Linked DNA regions of Macaca fascicularis. The protein of the gene in region 1 interacts with the protein of each later gene in a biochemical or structural test. Links are inferred from orthologs where the notes say so. Each region holds a gene or a part of one and is shown on either strand. Other genes may lie near its edges.

What was found. The genes of interacting proteins can lie anywhere in the genome.
Region 2: of the proteins of RRAD (region 1) and CAMK2G, one has a biochemical effect on the other in vitro, tested with the Homo sapiens proteins (2 studies listed by BioGRID, with this or other methods). The link is inferred for Macaca fascicularis from reciprocal best matches to the Homo sapiens genes RRAD and CAMK2G.

Annotation. Positions count from the first base shown.
Region 1 is NC_088394.1:62,935,181-62,939,360, forward strand, and holds the start of RRAD (GTP-binding protein RAD), read right to left. Parts: upstream 2,857-4,180; 5' UTR 2,730-2,856; intron 2,516-2,729; 5' UTR 2,501-2,515; coding exon 2,131-2,500; intron 1,134-2,130; coding exon 1,060-1,133; intron 935-1,059; coding exon 730-934; intron 1-729. UniProt on the Homo sapiens protein: May regulate basal voltage-dependent L-type Ca(2+) currents and be required for beta-adrenergic augmentation of Ca(2+) influx in cardiomyocytes, thereby regulating increases in heart rate and contractile force.
Region 2 is NC_088383.1:72,599,666-72,603,230, forward strand, and holds part of CAMK2G (calcium/calmodulin-dependent protein kinase type II subunit gamma), read left to right. Parts: intron 1-1,096; coding exon 1,097-1,169; intron 1,170-1,314; coding exon 1,315-1,417; intron 1,418-2,165; coding exon 2,166-2,249; intron 2,250-2,702; coding exon 2,703-2,797; intron 2,798-3,440; coding exon 3,441-3,563; intron 3,564-3,565.

The sequences.
Region 1 (4,180 bases):
CTGGGTTCACGCCATTCTCCTGCCTCAGCCTCCCAAGTAGCTGGGACTACAGGCGCCCGCCACCATGCCTGGCTAATTTTTGGTATTTTTAGTAGAGACCGGGTTTCACTGTGCTAGCCAGGATGGGTCTTGATCTCCTGACCTCATGATCCGCCCGCCTCGGCCTCCCAAAGTGCTGGGATTACAGGCGTGAGCCACTGCGCCTGGCACAACTTAGTAGTTTTTAATTAGAGGTTATATCATGACAAACGATGCAGTGGATTCGGGTTGCATGGGCAAGGTCACCAAGTCACTGCTGGGTTCCTCTGAGGGGCTCAGTACCAGGACCCATAGGAAAGGATGCTGAGGCCAAGTGGGACGGGTCTTCCCCAGGGCCAAGTCTACTGTAAGAATGGCCGAGACCTAGGACTCTGACCTCCTGGCCTGTTCCCCTACACTCTCTTCCACCCACTTACCCCGAAACCAGCCAGGTCAGGACCAAGAGGGGCAGGAGAGGAGGGCCCTGCGGTCCCCCAGCTCCCCTATCAGATTTGGTTCTTTCCCCACCCCTCTGGGGCCTTCTGGAGCCCTGTGAGCAGGCACCGGCTCTCTCCCATTTCCCTCCCCGCCAGTTTTCTTTCTGAACATTTTTAGCCTCTGATTATCCCCAGGGACTCAAGCTGAGCCAAGACTGCCTATATCAGGGCCCAGCTGGGCACTCCCTCCCCCTGCAACCTGCCGCCTACTCACCATCCACTGAGACCTCACGAGAGCGCACCAGGTCGCTCTTGTTGCCCACAAGGATGATGGGCACATCATCTGTTTGCCGTGCACGACGCAGCTGGACCCGCAGTTCTGAGGCCTTCTCGAAGCTGCCCTTGTCCGTCACTGAGTACACGATGACATAGGCATCCCCCATGGCCATGCAGTGTCCGGGCAACCAGCGGCCCCCGTCCTGGGGAACACACACACACAGTCTGCCCAACAGTCCTCATGACCCTGACACAAGCCTGGCACTCCCAGACCCCTACCCCAACTCACTCCTCCCTCCCCTGCCCTGGGTCTCAGCCTGTACCCTACCTGCTCCCAAATGTCGTAGACCATGAGTGATGCCTCTTCTCCGTCCACCACAATGGAGCGATCATAGGTGTGCCCTAGGCAGGAGACCAGTAAACAGGTTACCAGCTGACTGTCAAAGCCCCTGCTGCCAGGTTTCCTGTTATGGCCACACCCTCCAGCTCCTCCCCAGAGCCCTCCTCATCCTCCACTCCACTTGCAGATGCTGGTATGTGGCAACAGCAGTGCCAGGCAGGGAAGTGGGGGCTGGAGGGCATGGTGTGCCTGACCTCTACCCACATGCCCCCCAAGCTAGCAATGTCCCAGGTGGCTGCTCCAATGCCCCCTGTCCTCCTGCTGCCTGGGTCCCAAGGTGGCTCTGACCCAGTGGCCTGAGTTAGAATAGTGACTGTCCTGCTCCCTAGGGACCTTGGCCACCTAGGGCTCCTCTCTTAGAAATCCCTCTGGTTCGAAACTCTGACCTGTCCCTGATAGGCAGGGAGGGATGTCCGGTCCCATCCCACAGAGCAGCCATATCTATGCCCTGGCCTTCTACTCTGGGCATTTCTTCCCTACCAAAGGCCAGGGGGTGTCCCTTCTCCTTTCCTTTCCCCATTTATGAAATGAGTAGGTAGAAGCGTGATTCTGAAAACACGAATAGAATTCCACAGTATTGGCCAGGCGCGGTGGCTCACGCCTGTAATCCCAGCACCTTGGGAAGCCAAGGCGGGTGGATCACGAGGTCAGAAGTTCGAGACCAGCCTGGCCAACATGGTGAAACCCCAACTCTACTAAAAACACAAAAATTAGCCGGGGGTGGTGGTGGGCGCCTGTAATCCCAGCTACTCTGGAGGCTGAGGCAGGAGAATCCCTTGAAACCCGAAGGCAGAGGTTGCAGTGAGCCTAGATCGGGCCACTGCACTCCAGCCTGGGCGAAAGAGCGAAACTCCGTCTCAAAATAATAATAATAATAATAATAATAATAATAATAATAATAATAAATTCTTCCATGGTATTTGCGGCTTTGAGTCCTGGTCTCAGCCCTCAGTCCTAGCCCCGGGATCTCCCCTCTCGCGAACAGCTCGATCCGCTCACCTGCTGCCTCTGCTTCGGGACCATCCTCCACACCGCCGAAGATGCGCGCCAGGGCGCTCTTGCCCACGCCGGGCGCCCCCAGCAGCAGCACCTTGTAAACGCTCTCGTCAGAGTCGCTGCCCCCCGAGCTGAGTGAGTCCTCAGAGTCCTCGGGCCAGTCCAGCCTGGGACCCTGAGTCCCCGTCCCGGCCGCAGCCGCCGCCAGGGACCCGGGGGCCAGCGCCGCCTGCAGGTCGCGCTCGTCCACCGGCATGCTGCGGCGGTGCAGCGGCGGCGCTGGGCCCCAGGGCGTGCTGCCCCGACGGCGCTCGCGCTCCCGGCCCCCGCCGCGGCTGCCGCCCGCTCCGCTGTCGCCGCCGTTCAGGGTCATCGTGTCCGGGGCCGTCTAGGGGAGCAGGAACCCGGGTGACCGTGTAAGCCGTGAGGGAGGCGGGACCCGGGGCGCACCTGCCCAACCTGGAGTCAGGCGGGATGCTCGGGCGGAGGTCCCGCCGCAGCCCTCCCCCAGCCCCGAGGTCGCGGCGCCCTCACCGGGGACCCCTCCGGACCTGGCGCATCTATCTGCAGCCGCCCCGACCCCGCTCCGCCAAGACACTCACCCACTCGCACACAGACACGCTCAGGACTAGGATCCGGGTTAGGATGCAACCCACTCGTAGTCTGGACTTGGACTCTTGGGTCTCCGCCGCCGCTGCTGCTGCAGCCACCGCCTTCTCAGCCCGCACTGGGCTCTGGCTCCAGAGTCGCCTATTTAAGCCTCCACCCGCCCCCGCTCCCGCCCCCGGTTCACGCTGCTGCGGGGGCTGACGTGTCTGTCCACCCCCACCAGGGGAATCCCCCACCCTCCTCCTCAGACCTCGCACACCCGACACCCCGCCCTACCCGCCAGGGGAGGAGCAGTAGCTGTCTGGGAATAGAGCGGCTGACTGGTAGGCAAGGTCCGGGGCTGAGTGTGTGTGTGAGGAGAGAGAGCGCGAGGCTGCCGGGGGAGTACGTGATGCGGAGGCAGGCAGCAGGGTAAACTCAACCAGCCAAGAGCAGCAACTGCCCTCAGGGGAAGAATTCGGTCTGGCCCCGTGAGAGTGAATTCTCCCTTCCCTCTCCCCAAGTCGCCGGTCTTCCTCTTAGCAAGTAAACGAGTTACAGGCTGGACAGAGATCCCTCTTCTCTGCCCATGACACCCACTCCCCAGAGGTTCAGGTCTGAGCTGGAATTTAGGGGGTGTCATTTCACACAAAATCCTTTCCACTCTCTCCCCATCCTGGAGTTGAAGATTCTCCCTAATGAGCCTACTCTTCAGGGTGAGGGTTGGTGTCACCCCGTGAGCCCCTGGGGGCTCTGAGAGGGCTGCTGGGGGTGGGGGCGGCTCTGACAGTGTTGCAGGTGGAGGTACCTGCTTGACTCCTGGGGAGGAAACCCCAGCCCAGAAGAGGGAAGGGATTAAACTCAGTCCCCATCCCACCTCCCAGCACCCACCAGGCAGCTGCCAGCAACTCTGCTAAAAATAATTTGTCCCAGCCCTGGCCCTGGCCCTGGCCCTGGCTCTGGTTATTCTGCTTCTGGACTGGAAGTTGCCCAGAGTTGGGGAAATCCAGGCCAACGGGTGTTGAATGCCAGCAGGAGCCAGCCATTTTGAGTCGCCAAGGTCTCCCTTCTTCTTTCTAGCTGCAGGCTGAGCCAGCTGCCCAGGGCACATCTAGGGCCTGGAGGTTCAGACCCCCACCCAAGAGGGCCATAAACACAGCGTGTGGTCAAAGTATGAGGAGTGTCTTAGCTCCTTGCTCATCTCTCAGGGGTGTGAGGGTTACAGGTCAGGCTGTGAGGTATTTTGTGACAGGGACCTGCTATCAGACTGTGACATCTGATTGTGACAAGTGTGGTGAGGCTGGGAGGGCACCCATTTGGGGCTCAGGTGACATAACAGATGGATGGACCCTGGTGGGCTGTGGTAGGTTGTCATGGAGACCTGGGCCAGGCTCTTTGGCTGCTGCATCTGTTTCCTTGGCAACGCCTAAGAAGGCCTTGGATTGAGGAGGGCCTGGCTTGGTAA
Region 2 (3,565 bases), on another chromosome or scaffold:
GGGCAAATTCATTCCCAGTTGAAAACCATTGCTCTAGACTGCCCCCACTCCCTGCCAGGAGTTTGATGACAGGGATGGCAGGATGGTTTGCAATGTGGACAGTCTGATTTACGTGTGTGACTGTGGCTGGGCGCAGTGGCTCACACCTGTAATCCCAACACTAAGAGGCCAAGGTGAGTGGATCACTTGAGCTCAGGAGTTTGAGACCAGCCTGGGCAACATGGTGAGACCTTGTCTCTACAAAAAATACAAAAATTAGTAGCTGGGCACAGTGGTTCATGCTTGTGGTCCCAGCCTACTGGGGAGGCTGAAGTGGGAGGATTGCTTGAGCCCAGGAGGTCAAGGCTGCAGTGAGCTGTGTTCACGACATTGCACTCTAACCCAGGCAACAGAGTGAGACCCTGTCTCAAAAATAAAATAATAAATAAAATAATGTAACTTTGGGTTTTTTTCTCTACGCAAAATCATCAGAAGTGCTCCTCAAGCGCCCTGTTTGGAAGGTCTCAAGTAAATTGTTTCTTAAAGGCATCTAGATACTTGTTTTAGCTGCGTTACTGGGTGCCAAACCTCAGGGCAGCTGTAGGGTCTTGTCCATCTTCATATCCTAGGCACTCAGTAAACATTTAGGGGAATGAATGAGTGCACCCACCCTCAAAGTAGCTTAGATTGTTTAGTTGGGCTCTCCTTCCTAAGTTACCAGCACAAACCTTTTCTCCAAGAACAAAGTTACTATATGGAGAAAGAGAAAGAAGGAAGGAGTTGGATGGTCTCATCTTCCTCAGCATTCTGGGCTGTCTCCTGATCTCTTGGAAATGAATTGGTTGTGTTAGACCTTTCCAGTCAAAAGGGGGTGAGGTGAACCCATTCTAGTGGTGATCCTAGAGAAACCATTGAATCTTCCTGGGCCTTGGTTTCCTCTTTCTTTAAATAGGTTGACCAAGATGATGTGCAGAGTCTAAGGTTCCAGTGGCTGTTAAGTGATTCTCTGTGAATCCATGGCCCCTTGTCACATGCCTTAGTCTGCAGCGTGTGGTTGTGGATGTGGATGAGGTGGTTTAACCCTGCACTAACATTTGTTTTCCTTCTGCTTTTTTAGCCACTGTATACATCAGATTCTGGAGAGTGTTAACCACATCCACCAGCATGACATCGTCCACAGGGACCTGAAGGTACTACCCAGGCCCCCCTCCTTGCCTTTGCTTATGAAGTGTTGGCGCCACCTGGTGCCAGATAGTGGTACTGCGTAGGTCCCAACTAGGCTCCCTCTGGGCTGCAGGGTGGGTGCTCACAAGGTTCTCTCTGTTCCTTCTGCAGCCTGAGAACCTGCTGCTGGCGAGTAAATGCAAGGGTGCCGCTGTCAAGCTGGCTGATTTTGGCCTAGCCATCGAAGTACAGGGAGAGCAGCAGGCTTGGTTTGGTAAGGGTAACCCTGTCTTCCCAGAATGCAGCCCCCGCCCTTCCTCCTCTTCCTGATCGGCCTTCCTCTATTAGAACTAGAAGCCAAGGCTGGGCGCGGTGGCTCAAGCCTGTAATCCCAGCACTTTGGGAGGCCGAGATGGGCAGATCACGAGGTCAGGAGATCGAGACCATCCTGGCTAACACGGTGAAACCCGTCTCTACTAAAAAAATATAAAAAACTAGCCGGGCGAGGTGGCGGGCACCTGTAGTCCCAGCTACTCGGGAAGCTGAGGCAGGAGAATGGCGTAAACCCGGGAGGCGGAGCTTGCAGTGAGCTGAGATCTGGCCACTGCACTCCAGCCTGGGCGACAGAGCAAGACTCCGTCTCAAAAAAAAAAAAAAAAAACGAACTAGAAGCCAGACCCTTAATGGTCCTGGCCTCCTCAGAGACTGGCAGAGGGTGGGAGGGTGCAGAGATCTCTCTTGGCCCTACATGACTCATTACAGCAAGTCTAGCTGTTGTCAGCACTGCTTTCTTGCTGCCTCTGGGAAGGAGCTGGAGTTCCTGGTAGGCATACGGCTTTGTCCTCTGGTTCAGACTCCAGGCATTACAAGAAGCCCAGCCTGTCAGCTCTTGCTGCCCATGTGCTGAGTGCTTATGTAGCAAAAGCAGCAGGAATGAGAAGGGACTTGGGGGAAATGATTGGTGTGGATTTAACGAGAGAGAAAGTGGGTTCAGTATGCCTCTGCCCTCTCTTCTGCTACAGGTTTTGCTGGAACCCCAGGTTACTTGTCCCCTGAGGTCTTGAGGAAAGATCCCTATGGAAAACCTGTGGATATCTGGGCCTGCGGTAAGCCCATTCCACGCTCTCAGCTTTTCGCTGTTAAGGGCCCTTAACTTCCGATGATGGCAAGAAAGAGGCATCGCTATTCCTTGCGGGTCACACATACATGCCTGGTGTATGTGAAGTTACAGTGTTTGCTCTAGTGCCCCTGGGATGGCCGTTCCCATCACACTCTCCTCCCTGAGTGCTTCTGGGATGACATTGTATCCTTCTTGGAGAGGGATTTGCCCACGCCCTACAGGATGGGTTGTGCCTAAAGAAATCCCTGGTGTGACTTGGTGACGTGAAGTGTGAGGCATAGCAGGAGGGGCTGGTAGCATAGCATTATTGGCTGGCATCCACTTCTGTCTCTGGTATGGCCCCTGCCTTTCTAGGTGGCTCTGAGCCCTGCATGGCTTTTCTTGGTTCCTCAGGGAAGTAGGCGACTGACCCCCATGACCTGTGTGTTCTGTCTCGTAGGGGTCATCCTGTATATCCTCCTGGTGGGCTATCCTCCCTTCTGGGATGAGGATCAGCACAAGCTGTATCAGCAGATCAAGGCTGGAGCCTATGATGTAAGGACCAGAGAGCCGGGCAGCCAGGCCAGGAAGGGCAGATGTCCTGCTCCTCGGGCTTTGTCCAAGGGAGCAGGCTTGTTTAGTGTGTCATGTGATACAGGGGGTGTCAGGGGACTTTGAGGACCCAGGGATGGGCATCCAGGGCCCAATTCTTGCCACCCTATGTCCCAGGGAGCAACTTTCTTTTGCACAGCCTTCTTTGTAACTAAAGCTGAGGAGCCCACTGAAGTCCTTTGATCTTTACTTGCAAAGAATGGAGCAGCCTCATTGGTGTGCTATGTAACACAGGGACAAAAGGCCTGGAGACTCCCTTCACTGCAGTGGCACCTTGGACACATCGCTGAGCCTCCATTCCCTCCTAAGTAGAGAGCTGGGCTTAAACCAGAGAATGTTGGAGTCCCCTTCCTGCTCTGATCTGATATTCTGGTGTTCTAACCATGAGTGTTCTGTCTGTCTTTCCCAGTCTTTAAGTTGACACGGGTTCTGGGATAGCCCCAGGGCTTCTCCAACTCTGCTGGTCACAGCTTTAGGTACCACAGAGTATCCCAATTACAGGAGTTGAGTTGAAGACAGAGCCAATGTTTCAGGGTGTGAAGCTCACCAATATCATATTCCTCTTCTCCCTGTTCCTGCTCTTTAGTTCCCATCACCAGAATGGGACACGGTAACTCCTGAAGCCAAGAACTTGATCAACCAGATGCTGACCATAAACCCAGCAAAGCGCATCACGGCTGACCAGGCTCTCAAGCACCCGTGGGTCTGTGT